Arabidopsis thaliana: one gene and its partners. The protein of the gene in region 4 interacts with the protein of the main gene of each other region in a pairwise test. Each region holds a gene or a part of one and is shown on either strand. Other genes may lie near its edges.

What was found.
Region 1: the proteins of URO (region 4) and AT1G33760 interact in a two-hybrid assay, tested with the Arabidopsis thaliana proteins (one large-scale study listed by BioGRID).
Region 2: the proteins of URO (region 4) and ABR1 interact in a two-hybrid assay, tested with the Arabidopsis thaliana proteins (one large-scale study listed by BioGRID).
Region 3: the proteins of URO (region 4) and MYB112 interact in a two-hybrid assay, tested with the Arabidopsis thaliana proteins (one large-scale study listed by BioGRID).

The regions. Positions count from the first base shown.
Region 1 is NC_003070.9:12,235,800-12,239,267, forward strand, and holds AT1G33760 (Integrase-type DNA-binding superfamily protein), read left to right. Parts: upstream 1-1,747; 5' UTR 1,748-2,144; coding exon 2,145-2,699; 3' UTR 2,700-2,911; downstream 2,912-3,468. Other genes in the region: AT1G33750 (Terpenoid cyclases/Protein prenyltransferases superfamily protein), read left to right, coding at 7-549.
Region 2 is NC_003076.8:25,889,530-25,894,443, forward strand, and holds ABR1 (Integrase-type DNA-binding superfamily protein), read left to right. Parts: upstream 1-1,919; 5' UTR 1,920-2,149; coding exon 2,150-2,588; intron 2,589-3,390; coding exon 3,391-4,127; 3' UTR 4,128-4,359; downstream 4,360-4,914. Other genes in the region: RPN5B (regulatory particle non-ATPase subunit 5B), read right to left, coding at 4,498-4,716, 4,794-4,871.
Region 3 is NC_003070.9:17,703,598-17,708,193, forward strand, and holds MYB112 (myb domain protein 112), read right to left. Parts: upstream 2,864-4,596; 5' UTR 2,781-2,863; coding exon 2,588-2,780; intron 1,750-2,587; coding exon 1,620-1,749; intron 1,081-1,619; coding exon 672-1,080; 3' UTR 535-671; downstream 1-534.
Region 4 is NC_003074.8:8,248,810-8,252,052, forward strand, and holds URO (C2H2 and C2HC zinc fingers superfamily protein), read left to right. Parts: upstream 1-1,709; 5' UTR 1,710-1,769; coding exon 1,770-2,288; 3' UTR 2,289-2,674; downstream 2,675-3,243.

The DNA of each region.
Region 1 (3,468 bases), on a different chromosome or scaffold from region 4:
TTGCAGATTAAGATCATGGGGAGAGCGTACGCTGAAATATCAAAATGGGCACGAGCAGGTCACGTTCCAACCTTTGATGACTATATTGAGCTTGGGCTTGACTCGTCAGGGATTAGATGCTTTGCAATGTACAGCTTTATATCGATGGAAGATTGTGAGGAGAATCAAACGAACGCGTGGTTCAAATCCAAACCCAAAATGTTACGAGCTTTAAGTGTTATATTTCGTCTTACAAACGACATAGCCGGCTTCGAGGAGGAGATGAGGAGAGGAGAAGTGGTTAATGGGGTGAACTGTTACGTTAAGCAACATAATGTTACCAAGGAATTGGCGGTTCGAGAAATTAAGAAGATGATTAGAGATAATTACAAGATAATGATGGAAGAGTTCTTGACGATAAAAAGTGTGTCACGTCCGATTCTGGTCCGGTGCTTCAACATTGTACGATTGGTCAATCTGTATTACGAGGAGGGTGATAATTTCACCAATCCCAATGGCAAGCTCAAAGATCTCATCACATCTTTGTTCTTCCATCCTCTTCCGCTTTGAAGACTTGGCTCCTTGCCGAAAAATTCATCTACATTTCTCTTTCCATTATTATTGATGATTGTTAATTTGCTCTATGCACATATTTTTCCATTAAATTTTAATTCCTGGGGTTTCAATTAGTTTTTACTATTTTAATTTATTTTGCATAGAAGTTTTTTTTATAACTTTCACTACCCACAACGACAAGGAAAGTTGACCAAAAGAATGAAATAATATCATAATTCATGTTTATATACGTTATACTATTCAATTCTTAATTCATGTTTATATACGTTAAACTATTCAATTCTTAATTATGTTTCTTTGCAAATAATATTAAATTACACACATGAGTTCTTGAACCAAGGAACGTATAAGTTCAAAAAATAGACTGGAAAGCAAAACTTTGTTATACTTGTTGAGTTCTTATGTAGGATCCAAATCTTGTAGATAAGCAACAATATATAATGGGCGGTGAGATTAAGACTGAAAGTATTTTTTTGACCACCGGATGGACCGTACGGATTTCCACAATTCGATACGGTGTGGTTGTTAGTGCCTTAGTGGCGGTGGTGACCATTATGCAGCCATTTAACTATTTAGGGTTGGAATTTGGCTCATGAGGTTTTACTACACATCAAGAAATTATTTGGAGACAGAGCATCGATCTTCTGCTGGTCGGGTTTTAGAATTTCATAAAATCAAATTTTGGTTAATTTAGATGGGTTTCTTTCCCCAATTCTTCGTTATGAACAATTCATTATTTTGGTCAACTTAATTGTCTATGACTCTATGGGCAGTTACATAATGTTACTATCATATTTGCTGTCAAGACTCTTGAGATATGGCATATATGGACTTTTGTACGAGAACCTAAAGTTCTAACCAACACATGATATAAAGGACTAATTGCTTTTCTTTTCATTTGGTCTTACAACAACAAAACACAATATACTACTTTGACTTAAAATAATTGATCTTTTATATGAAACACTAATTTATCTCAGTATGAACTATGAAATCTATTTCCTAGTTGAAAAGTTTAAATATTTTGAACTTTTTGATCAAGTTAAATATCTATAATCTAACTAAGGCCCAGAATATACCAAATATGAAATATATTTATCAAGGCCATGTCAATTTTCTTGGAAGGCATGTACAAAGTTTTTACTGAAAACATATTTGATGTGTAAAAAAATATTTCTAAAAAAATTTAGAACCCAAATCATATAAATATCAAACTTGTCTTCAATCAAAAAAATAATATTCAATCAGCGTTTTCTTTCAAATACACACAACACACTATTTGTACACGCTTAAAGACAGCTTTGCTAATGTACAATATCCATGTAAGTAATAGAGACCCATGCATGCATGACAGCATATTTCCACTTCACAAGTAACTACGTAGGAAGCTCACTTCACCTGAAACCAAACAAGCCATCCACAAATTCTATTCCCTCATTTATTGTCTTCTTTATTTCTCTATATATACAATTTCACTTAACCACTGACTCTATAACTCAAAACTTCTAAACTAATTCGCACAGTTCTATATACACTCACAAACACACACACACACAATATAGTGCTACTAAAATAACCTTGTATTAATTATGGAAAACACTTACGTTGGCCAACGAGATTACCGCTTCAACGTTAACCAGTTGTCCTACAGAGGCATTCGTCGGAGGAAATGGGGCAAATGGGTATCGGAGATCCGAGAACCCGGTAAGAAAACAAGGATTTGGCTTGGAAGCTACGAGACGGCCGAGATGGCTGCAGCGGCCTACGATGCTGCGGCTCTTCACCTCCGAGGACGTGGGACCAATCTCAACTTTCCGGAACTCGTCGACAGTTTTCCTCGGCCGGAAAGCTCTAGTTCGGAGCACATTCAAGCGGCTGCACAAGATGCAGCACTTATGTTTAAACCAGGTAGGTTGAGTGAACCAGCTCTCGAGTCTGGTCAAGGACTTTCTCGAGTAGGATTGTCTCCGGATCAGATTCAAGCGATTAATGAGTCTCCATTAGACTCGCCGAGGATGGGGTGGATGCAGGATTTGGAAGTTGCTGACTACGAAGAATTATACGGACAATTTTTTGGTCAGCACGATAGGGATGAGTTTTTTGAAATGCAGCAATTTCAGTCCATATGGAATTCTAATAATTGATATACGTTCGCTTAATTGCTTAACCATTTGATTTTTTTTTTAATAATGTCATATCATCAACCAAGGTTTTTCGATTATATTCAGTAAAGTATAATAAATTTTCGACCCTTACTGTTTTTCTTGGGTTCAATTTGTAATCTCTTAACAATGATGATGTCATAAATACCAATATGATTAATTCAAATTTTCAATATATATGTAATGTTTTGGTTCCTTGTCAGTCAGATAGTATCATATGGTTTATACGAGAAATAAATATAAACCAAGGAAAAAACTCAATCCAAGAAAAAAAAATGTTATCTTATAAAAACTTAGAAAAAAGGGTGGTTACCTTGTGCTTCGTCTTCGGTTTTCGTTGTGGTATTCGTTAAATTGGAATAAGACTAACTCCGAAAAATAGGTAAGATTATAGACCAAAAACCTGAAACTCCTATGGTTTATTAAAAACAAAATTATTTGATGAAAGTCCATTATGTAGACACATATAACCCATAATATATACACACGAGCTGACGTGCACGTACCAATTCGTACTATGGCCGCCTCAAAAGTACAGGTTTATTCCATATTATAGTGAGCATGAGTCCGTTGAAAAGCTTTGATTACCTAAAGATATACTATAATCAGTATCAATAACAACTGTTGCAGTCAATATTATATTAGTATGAAATGTTTTAATTGTCCCATACGTTCAGTTTTCTGTTAGGCCTAATTGCGTGAAATTATAAATTAAAGTTTTAATTAGATCATAATGTAAAAGCATGAATTT
Region 2 (4,914 bases), on a different chromosome or scaffold from region 4:
TTAAATTAAACTGATCACGCCTCGTTCTCCGGTTTTGCCATGTTAAACAAGTTTAATATTTACAAGTTGGATGCATATTCGTATAATAATACGTAACTAATCCGAATTGAATGCTTAATTGACGCGTTGATGCGAACTTAAATAGGGATTAGGTTAGGCGATAGGCACACACAAGCATGGTGAAAACATAAATTTATTTAATAATCACTATGTTTCCGTATTTGGATTGATCTTTGAAGACTCGATCTCTAAATTTGTTTTATTTTACTACTAATTTTTATTTGATAGACATATTTAGGTATTTTTATCGCCTAAGTGATTAAAAGCTACTGTATGTTTTAGTGGAATATAATTAAACTGGATTAGTATAAAACAGGGCATCTTAGTTTCTAAAAAGGGAAATGACCGGTGAAAAGGTTTATCCAGTTTTTTTTTTTTTTTTGTCGTGGTTTATCCAGATTAATTATACTGTCGTACAATATTTTTGTTCAGCTTCTTTAAGAAAATAAACTGTCGCACTGACTAATTAATTAGTTAATAGAGACTTGAGCATCAGCCTAAGAAAAATGTCACATCAATAACAATCGTTTTTTTTTCTCCCATCTTTGCAAATTATGTATTATTAGCTTCGTTAAATCTGCGACTTTTTAACAATACGAAAATGTCTCGTGTATAACAGGTAAAAATAACAACTACGTCAACTTGTGAGCACAATTGCTTAGATTGGTTAAAAACAAAAGTCCAACGATGCGTTTCGAGATTATCCTCAAGTTAACTCTCAACCAAAAAATAATAGAAAATCCAAAAGATATCAATATAATAATTATTCTGCGTTCAGACTAGAATCTACGAGTACATATCTGCAAGTTCTGAAATCTGAACCATCCTGAGCTTAATTGCAAATATGGACAACAATATGTTTTTCTTAACCAAAAAGTTTTTGTGCAGCCTCTATTAGACTCGATTCGGGCGAATAAGAAAACAACTCTTATAGTTAAAAGAAAAACACATCACAAATCCTAAAATCATATTTTCTTCTGAACAATGCGTTTCTATTTTTTTTCTATTTTCTTCTGAACAATGCGTTTCTATTATTTTCTTCTGAAAAATCGAAAACGAAGAAAATAATACAAGGTGTGGGTCAAACGGTCAAAGATAAGAGACGAAGGTTGAAACAAGTGGGCCGTAGGGTGAGGCCCAAACGGTCACGAGCATTAGCCTTACCATCACCGACACCGTCCACAAACGGAGCATCTGACGTCGACCAGAACCGACACGTGCAACACACGCGCATTCGTACGGAACGGCTCGTCTCTCAACTTGACCTTCAAGCTCACCGTTTAGACAAAATGCAAAAATAATCTTATTTTATAAATATTCCATTTAATGGTTTTACCTCTTTTTCAGCACCGAACCGTAAATATAGTAATTAATAATCGTTTCTGAATGCCTCCATATTTTAACAGTGTTTATAACTTCTTAAAGTTTTTACTATGCAAGTTGTCTTATGACACAGAGCTAATATACATAATTAATTCATTACCTTATTTATTTAATTTACTAGACTTGTTAAAGTATTCTTCAGAACTGTTCATAGAGTATAGGTCGCATATAGTATATTTACAAAAATATATAATTACTCACAAGTTGCGAAAAGATTCAGATACGTTTCATATAATAGGACCCAATTTTTTACAAAATTTGTTCAAATTGAGTTAAATCATCAAAACCAAATTTTCTTCTGTTATAGATCAAATTTATAAAAATAGCTATTTGCTATATTATATATATATATATATATATATAAACATTAGTTATTAAAAAAAAAACTGCGTGTTTCCAGTTCACACGGGTACAGAGAGAAGCCGACTCATTTTCATTTGGCGGCGCTGAAACCATACAAAGTAATTAACACAAGAAAATTAAATTTGTATATCTATCAGCTAAACCTCGTCCTTTGTCTTAAAAAACACATCTTCTAAAATCTCTGTCTTTCTTTCTTCCTCTTTGTCTCTGTTTCTTGTTTCTCTCTCTCTCTCTCTACAGAGTTTTCTTTCCCTCGAAGAAAAAGAATATTTTTAAATTTAATTTTCTCTGCGTTTATAAGCTTTAAGTTTCAGAGGAGGAGGATTTAGAAGGAGGGTTTTGTATGTGTGTCTTAAAAGTGGCAAATCAGGAAGATAACGTTGGCAAAAAAGCCGAGTCTATTAGAGACGATGATCATCGGACGTTATCTGAAATCGATCAATGGCTTTACTTATTCGCAGCCGAAGACGACCACCACCGTCATAGCTTCCCTACGCAGCAGCCGCCTCCATCGTCGTCGTCCTCATCTCTTATCTCAGGTTTCAGTAGAGAGATGGAGATGTCTGCTATTGTCTCTGCTTTGACTCACGTTGTTGCTGGAAATGTTCCTCAGCATCAACAAGGAGGCGGTGAAGGTAGCGGAGAAGGGACTTCGAATTCGTCTTCTTCCTCGGGGCAGAAAAGGAGGAGAGAGGTGGAGGAAGGTGGCGCCAAAGCGGTTAAGGCAGCTAATACTTTGACGGTTGATCAATATTTCTCCGGTGGTAGCTCTACTTCTAAAGGTTAGTTTTGTTGGGTTTTTATTTTGTCCTCTATAAACACACGTACCCTGTTTCGGATTTAAACCACATTAGTACACACCATTTTGATAAAATTTTACATATTTCGGTTGTGTATCCACAAAACATAAAACATTTAAATTATAAGATCATTCTATTTGATAAATGTTTTCAATAATTTTATGATGTAGTATATACATCAAGGTATGAGTCACATCAAATGTTTGTAACACAAAATCTAAATACAGTTGCACTTTTGTTGTCCTCACGCAATCTACAAAGCAACATGTCTTATATTTAGTTTTTTTATTCTTTTCTTTTATCGTTTTCTAAAATATGGCGAAGTTAGATATACTTTATAATAATTTAAATATAAAGAAAAATGAGGAATAAAAAATAGTAATTAGCGTAAAGATGTAAATAAATATTTCGAAGTGTTGACAAAAATAAATATAATAACGAAACTGTACTTGATTATCTTAAGACATATACTTTAGAATTGTTGTAAAAAGGTTGGATATTTAATTAAGAAAATGATGATGATGATGATGATATGCCAAAAGAATTTATCTCCCTCCAATTGCATCAAGAGTCGTTTTCCACTTCCTTTTTTTTTCTACTTGTTCATTCCTTTTGTCACCCATTTGCCTCATCACTTTCTCATACTCGCTCTTAAAAAAAAAACTTTATAATATCTTTATTGGAGACATTAATATTATCGATTCTTTTTCTTATGTAAGAAAGTGTTAATTCACGAGTGACAACAAAAGTGTGAAATTTTACATGTTTGTTTGTTTATTTGCAGTGAGAGAAGCTTCGAGTAACATGTCAGGTCCGGGCCCAACATACGAGTATACAACTACGGCAACTGCTAGTAGCGAAACGTCGTCGTTTAGTGGGGACCAACCTCGGCGAAGATACAGAGGAGTTAGACAAAGACCATGGGGAAAGTGGGCGGCTGAGATTCGAGATCCATTTAAAGCAGCTAGAGTTTGGCTCGGTACGTTCGACAATGCTGAATCAGCAGCAAGAGCTTACGACGAAGCTGCACTTCGGTTTAGAGGCAACAAAGCCAAACTCAACTTCCCTGAAAACGTCAAACTCGTTAGACCTGCTTCAACCGAAGCACAACCTGTGCACCAAACCGCTGCTCAAAGACCGACCCAGTCAAGGAACTCGGGTTCAACGACTACCCTTTTGCCCATAAGACCTGCTTCGAATCAAAGCGTTCATTCGCAGCCGTTGATGCAATCATACAACTTGAGTTACTCTGAAATGGCTCGTCAACAACAACAGTTTCAGCAACATCATCAACAATCTTTGGATTTATACGATCAAATGTCGTTTCCGTTGCGTTTCGGTCACACTGGAGGTTCAATGATGCAATCTACGTCGTCATCATCATCTCATTCTCGTCCTCTGTTTTCCCCGGCTGCTGTTCAGCCGCCACCAGAATCAGCTAGCGAAACCGGTTATCTCCAGGATATACAATGGCCATCAGACAAGACTAGTAATAACTACAATAATAGTCCATCCTCCTGATGACTTGCTTCATTTTATTTGTTTCACTATAGAGTAATAGAAAACAGGAAAATGATTATATGTTATAGAGTTATTTTTCCAAATATTATAGGGTTTAGGTTGTTTGTATTGTTCTGCTTTCATCCTCTCATGCTTTTTTTCTTAATTTATTATATTTTTGCATTATAATTTCGTTTCATTGTAACAAACATTAAAAAGACCACATGGAGAAAGGAAAAAAAAGAGAGTTTTGTATATAATCTTGCAAGGTCTCCTAAAGAACACAAAAAAAATGTGTTCGAACCAAGCAGAGAAAGAAAACTCAAATGATTATGTTAGAACGAGAGCCTGAAAGATTCTTTCCACCGATGTGTGTGGCTAGACCGGGTTCTCAAGCTCTTAGTGCAACTTTATGAACCATTGTTTCTTTGTGAATTTGGTGACAACTCTTTTCAACAAGATCCAAAAGCTTCTCCAAGTTTGTTGCCCACGAGTTGAGGATTTCGTTGCTGTCTTTAACAATCTGGAAGCAGATTATTCCTGATGGTCTGTCGATTTTTGCTATCAAGGCTTTGGACACAACCATTTCAGATAGATGCTTCTCTGCTTCCTGAAATATAATGAAACGGTAAGAAGAGATTTAAACATGTACTGGTACACTTAAGAGTATTTTGAAACTATATTTACCTCAGTGGTTAGGCATAAAAGTTCTGCAAGTCTCTTAAAGGTAATCCTTGAGTAGTACTTTGAGACAACGAGAATATTCTGCAGAAGATGTGAAGAATTTGTAAAGTTAAGACTCTTCAGT
Region 3 (4,596 bases), on a different chromosome or scaffold from region 4:
AGTTTTTTTTTTATTTTTAAAAAATGATATTTGAGACGACGAAATTTTACTTGCATATTTTTAAGAGTTGATACCATCTTTAAGTGCTCTAAGCAATATGTCTCATTGTCTCGAGCATGCAAGATTTCATGAACACTTCAACTCTGAGTTTAGATGAGAGGGCCAAATCCAAATTAATAATTTATTTAGAGTAAAATAATTATTTGATGTTCACTTCATATACACATCATGCATCAATCTCTATTTCAACCCATTAGTTAAATAAGTATGTAATGAATTTCTTTGGGATATGTTATCAAATACTCATAATGTTTTTAATAATGCGGTGATATTATAAAACTTAATTGATGATCATATATGGTAGATTATAAGTGATCGTATGGGAGTTATTAAATGAACCAGGAACCACATAAACTTTTTGCTAAACTCATGTTGTTGTTTTTCTCTTCTTTGCTCTTATAGTCTTATCTAAATCATGCTTCTGTGTAACAATATATATGTTTTTGATATTATTAATTAAGCAGTTTTTTTTTTGTTTTGTAAAATCATACATCACAATAAAATTAAACCAATAAAAAAATGGAAAAAAACCCGGAAAACCTTTAATTTTGTTTTGAATGATTAGTTTATGTTTATTATACATTACATTCATTAATAAACCCATGAAATGCCTACTGTATGAGCCACTTGTTGAGCTCGTCAAAACTACACAAAGTTTCAAACGTATCTCCGCCGTTGAACCAATAACCACCATTTGTCATATGATCCAACGTTCCAAATTCCACCTGATCACCACCGTAGAAACTCGATCTCACAGCCTCAGACGACGACGTTGATGACGTGGCGGTGGCGACGCTGGAGTTCTCAGGCGAGTAGTGGTTAGAGGTAAATTGGACACTTTGAGTGGCGGCGATTCTCTCGATGAGACGAGGCATCCAGAGATGTTTGATGGTGTCTTTGAATTGCTTGCTGTTCACGTCACATTTTAGAAGTTTTGCATGCTTTTGAACACGTGTTCTCCAATAATTCTTTATCTCGTTATCTGTTCTTCCCGGTAAATGTTGAGCAATCTTTGACCACCTTCACAATAGAAAAAATATCAAAACTAACTCCATTATTAAAAACACGATTAATTTTATAGAACATCGTAATTAAACTCTCATTCCGTTTTTTATTAGAATCATTTATACATACAAAAAATATATTAAATTTCTAATATACTTTTTGTACGTATATTAATTGTTTTTGTTAAAACCGACTCTTGCTAAAAATATTATTTATAATGAATCGGAGGGTTTAATTATTTATAAGTTCTATTGTAGTACTAGATTAATCAGTTTTTTTAGTGTTACTCTGATAAAAAAAGACGTTGATGTGTACCTTAATTTCAACTATGATACAAGTTTCATATAGTAACCACAATTCAACCAAGAAATTTCAAATACGCATCAAATTGATTTTGTCAATTATCTACTAATACAATATTGAATAACGAGTTATTTATTTCATAGAGACGTTCCAAATTTGCTCTCTTCAACGATATGTGTCCCTTTTTCTATTTTAAGTAATGTATCGACAATATGACTATGTCTATGTCGATATAAATAAAGGTTTCATACCGATTTCCCCAACGAGAATGGAGTTCAAGGATGATAAATTGTTCTTGAAGGGATATGTCTCCACGGCGGATATCCGGCCGGAGATAATTTAGCCACCGCAATCTGCAACTTTTCCCCGTTCTATTCAGTCCTGTCTCAATAGTAAATGATTTCAATATAAATACAATTAGTATAAAAACATGAATTAACTGGAATGTACACTAGTCAATAGTATATGGACACTAGTACAATTTCCCAAATCAATAAAGATAACAATTCCATGAGGCTGTATGGAATTGGATGGTTGGGAAAGGTGTTTGAGTTCCACACTCAAAAGGCTAATATGAAAAGAACTCCAAAGGAAAAAATAAATAAATTTGGACCGACCAAACTGTTTCATACGAAAGTACACTTTTAATGATAATAATGAACTATGAATATGTCAACTTGTTCTTTCTTACTTTACCAATTCTACAGAGGAATTTAAATTATGCCGACATGGAGAAGTCACAGCCATAAGAAAAGTATTCTCATAGTTACGAAAAATCACATTCATATATGTATATCACTCACATATGATGTGATAGAAATTGAATAACATATTGATAAGATGTGGACGAGTTTTTATATCTACTCCATTTAATTTCAGTTAGTTATAAATAAACTCTAAACTAAACTTCACATGATCATATTAAAATCCACAAAATCCAAAACGAATTTCTAATAAGAAAAAAAAAAGTTTCAGTCTAAATGTTTAAAAAACAAAAACGGACTACTTGTTTGACATATAAAGAATCCTTCAATACCAAACTTTAACCATTCAAATCAATGATAGTTTAACAATCACTCTAGAGATATGATATGGGCATATAAGGATTTGTTATGATGACTTCAATTGATCTGAATCGATCGATTTACGCATTACATATTATATATCATGCATGATCACATATTCTGTATATATATATGCAAAAGGCTTAAGAAGTTACCAGCAGAACGAGAGAGGGAGTTCCATCTTCCTTCACCGTGAAGAGAAATGTAACTGACGAGCTTCATGTCTTCTTCCACAGTCCATGGACCTCTCCTTATTTCTATTTCCATCTTTTTCTCGACTTCTTCGACTTCTTCTTTATGATTTATAAGGGTTTTACAGTTTGCGAATTCTGTTCTACTTATATTCATGCTTTGAGATTCTTAGAAACTTGTGAGAAGATTGCTCTGAGAAAGATTTTAATTAATGAGGGAGAGAGTTCTCGGAATGGACATAAAGTGATCGAGTTTTCAGGGTGGGTTTTATAGATTTTTTTTTGTTTTGTTTTGTATATATTATAAATAAATACCAAGCATTTGAAATCGGCATGTTAATAGATAAATTATTACCCGAAGATATTAGTGGAATTTTCGCAAAATAATAATTTCTAAGTAATAGTATAAGAGTTCTTAGTTTCTCCTTAAGCACATGCTATAGTTAAGAGTTGGATAAGCTATCAAGTAAGTAAAAGTAACCGAAGAAGTAATTTAAATTAACATCATTTATTTATCGATATAATTTAGTTGATGCAACAAACCCTTTTTTCTGTAGTATATAATTTTGTTTAGTTTTGATTCAGGTTTCCTTTTATTAAACCAAACTAGAATTTAACCCTCAATATAACACGGGACAATTTTGTTTTCACATAATCTTAACTAAATTAGTGTAATTCTACATATTTAATATTAGTGATGTTAATCAAATAATAAAATGAGAATTTCACCGTATTATAATGTCGGTTAATGATACTTTTAATTTTTTTAATGTCGATTTAAACTCATTTTTCATATACCCAGTCTCAAAATATAACATGTACTGCGTTATTTTAGACTTTTATATATATTCATTTTATTTTAAACTTTATACTGAGTTTAAATATATCAATTATAATATTTCAAAACTTTCAAAGCTTAAAATTTACTATATCCAGTAAAATTAAACAGTTCAATTAAAAACAGAATTAAACCATATACAAACTTTTAAATTTAGATACTTGTTAAGTTAAACTTCTTGTTTATTTAGATTTAGATTTATTTATAACATGACTCTTAATCATTTTCTAAACATTTTAGCCCATGTGAAATTGAGACGTTGAACACACTTTTTTATTATTTAAGTAATATATATGTCTAATTCTAAAATTTTGAATCAGAATATAGGTAGAAAATAGTTTATTATTAACTTTATATGATGATTCAAAACAAATAGAAAACAAAATCAAACAAAGATGATTGCGAATCATTATTTTAATTCTTAACACAATCTTTTAATATGTATTACTAATTTTGGAACATTATATGTATATTTCAAATTTTATAGTTAATGTTAAAAACAATCAATTGATTTGGTTATACGGATAATAAAAATTAATAGTAAAGTTATTTGAATACATGAATATAAGTAATGACATTCTCTGTTAATATTTATCAAAATAAAGGTGTTTTTTAAAGTATACTTCAAAAATAATACTCCCCCTATTCTTTATTAATTGATTTTTAGAGAAACAAAATTGTTTCAAAAAGATTGATTTTTTAGGTTTCTATGCACTATTTATTAGTTATTATTGATGAATTTTAAACTTCAAGACAAATAATTGAATATCATTAGTTTAGAATTATTAAAAAATTAAATCACAAAAATTAAATCAATATGTTTACTTAATCTGTGATTGTTTCTAGAAAATCAATAAAAAGGGACAAAAGGAGTAATTTTTAGTCATGATTTCAATTTGATGCAATTTTGGTTTAATTTATTTTGACTTACGGTTTAGATTCGGTTTGGTTTTGATAAAAAAAGTTAGAACATATATAAATACAGATTGATGAAAGAAACTAGTTAAATTTTTTGAAGTTACTAACTTTTTTGGGTTTTCTTTAGTTTCGGAACTCTTGGTTACTTTTTTTTAATGGTTTTAGCTATAAATTTTAGTTTTTTTAATTAGAAATAGAAAAGGATTACAAAACAAAA
Region 4 (3,243 bases):
TAATAAATGATGTAAAACAACCTTTTTTTTGTAGTGTCTCCAACACTACATAGAGCATTTCTATATATGCATACACTATTCTTTCAGTTTATTACTATTAATGTTGTATATCACCCGCAAGTCCAAACACACATATAAATATTGAAACTGTTGGTGGATATTTTTTCCGTATGATTCTTTTATCAAGCTTAATTATATAGACCTTACCTTGACCGAGTTTGTTTCTTATCCACATGCCAATTTAGAATATTTGTTCGTGCGGGTTTTATGAAACAAATGTTATTGATGAAAGAAATAAATGTAGCTTTAGGAGGCTAAAGTCTACGATGAGCTGTAGTCCCAAAGTTCTTTTTCGTCTGTTATAAATTCACTAGTGAATATTCTTAAGTCAGTAGGATTCTCACATGTTCTCGAAATCCTATAAAACATTAATGCTCCTGATCAGCTTATAGAAAACGAATGACAATAGTTCTTTATCTAAATCCATAAAACATAATGGTATACTTGTTTTACTATATATTATCTGCATGATCTCACTAAAAAGAGACTACGCCAAAAGGAAGTCAGCCTACATAATAACAAATCTATTCAACTTCCATAATATCATTTTTCTTGAGGCTATAATTATTTTCCATTGCATATATAGAGAGTTTTGATCCATCGTGATTCGTTAAACGTTCTATTATATCCTAAAAAACGATATGGCAATAGCTAAAACCGAACTTATAAAACGCGGTTTCAATCGGTCCATAGAAGTTAAAGGGTACCGGTGTGAACGAAGTAAGTTTATGGAGGTGAATATTATTTTGTCGGTTCTGAAATTGAATACAGTAAAATATTAATTTTAGCAATCCTAAGAGTAGCAGGCGATCGCTCATCGATCGTATTTTTTTCTAAGTTTTATTTTGTTTTTGTTAAAGCATATTTTTCTAAGTATAGAAACCATCGAAATCAATTTCAGTTTTGGGGAGAACTCATAATAAATTTCATAAATGCTATTTAATTAATGAGAGCAATTTGTATATTCTTAATTGTTTTACCTACTTTAAGCACAACCACAAGTCCACAACTCCTTAGTGAATGCTTCTTTTAAAAAATTTGGTTTTATTATTTTGTAGGTATTACATGTTCACATTCAAAATATATTTCACACTATATTAGATTAAATTTAACTAAGCTTTAATATTTCACTAGCTCCTACTAGCCTTCCAATTTTTACAATTTTACTTTGCAATTTTTACTCTCGATCCAAACAAATAAGTACTTTTTTGTACTATATTCAAAGATGAACAACTTTATATTTTTCTTGAACAAAAATGAAATTGAATAGAGAGAAACTAGCTACCCTAACTAGTCACTCGAAACCTTATAAATAACACCTTCTGTAGTTTGTTTTCCTATGAAGAATATTTTTCAACTTTATCTATTATATTATCCTTTGTTAAACTTTCCCTGAAAATTGTTAGAAAATAAACTAATTAAAATAATTCTAAGCATGACGTTTTTGTAGTTATTAATTCATGTTACATTAGACGCACGAATTTAATTATAATACACACCCCCGTAATTAAGTACATTAAAGACCCTAAAGTATATATATTAACCATTGATAAAACAATTTAGCCCTAATTAGTGTCCGTTCACACACATAATCTTTCCTTTAGCTTATATATACGCTGGTGTGTGTTTTTAAGAAGCTTCATACACTCATTTTCAAAACATTGAATACTGAGACTTGAGAGAGATCCCAACAGAAGAAGAAGAGAGAGATGAACCACCGGGACAAACAAATTGATTCCGGCTCTGGCTCTGGAGAAAACCGCCGGACTTATGACTGCGACATCTGCAAGAGAGGTTTCACGAATCCTCAAGCCCTCGGTGGTCACAATAACATCCACCGCAGGGAACGCGAAAGATACCCCTCCTCCTCTTCTTCTTCTCACTCATTTCCATTTTCTCTTCCGTTACCATCTCAGTCTCCCTCCTCCTCCACAAACTTCACAAACCCTCCTCCTTATTTTCCGACCATTGAGTCATACCTACACCAAGGGTCTCAGCCACCTATTAACCCTAGCCACAACACACAATACTTTGGATCATCATCATCATCAAGAGGAGGAGGGAGATTTGCTCAAGGGGCGTCTCATGATCTTAATTTGAGCTTAGGGCTCGGATCCATGAATGAAGATGATGACACTCACCGGAGCCCACCAGAGACCGGAGGTTCTCAACCTCAAGATGGTGATCTTGATCTTGATCTTCGACTCGGCGGTCATCGTCATCATTAAGCTTGCAGCGGTTTCCCTCACGTTCGATCCACGTAACCATATACAATATATATATATAGTTGAAAGTTAATCACCGTATAGTGCATGATGTTTATTGTGGTGTTTATATATGTTTTCAATATATATGTAGTATGATCAAAATATGTTGGACTTGGAGTCATGTTTTTATCATGATCGTATGAAGTTTGGGTTTGTATAATTCAAGACTATATTTTTCACTTAAAAATTATAGATCAAATAGGTTAATTTGAGTAATGTTTTTGTTATACCTTTTTCAAAAAGAAAAAAAAATGTTCTTGTTGTCTGAAGTTGGGTTTGTATAGTACAGGATTATTGTTCTTTTCCATAACTATATATTAGTGTAGATCTATAGATCAAGTAGTTTTGCGTAATATGTTCTAATAATTAGTTACGTTGTATGAAATTTGGGTTTGTATAATCAAAGACTATCTATCATTCTCTTGTATAATATTTTACATGAATTTACATTTCAAGTGGGTTTGTATGAATTTACATTATAAAGTAAGTTTAAACTTATATTATGAATGAATTCGAACTGCAATGGGATAAACATTATATGCGTTTTAATAATAGGTTGGTGAAGTTTATAATTTACACCATTTGAAAAGCCTTCCAAATTTAGAAACTACATTTTTGCAGACCCATGTGAGCTCATATGAATCAATCATAGCCTTGATGTTGTAAAACAAATTATGATTATAAAAATGTGATAGTATATTACATGCATAAAAAATAAAGGAGAGTAAATGAAAGTCAAATCTGGGTTTTATGAACTGAAAGTTGAAGTTTAGAAGTAGAAGTAGCGATCAAAGTATGACCAGTTAAAAGGCCCAATATCATTTGGAGGTTTGATTTTTGGGTTCGTAAATTTCAAGAGCCAGATTATGATTTGCTGGGCTTAAAAATCATGGAAAAATTGAAATGACGGTGTTAA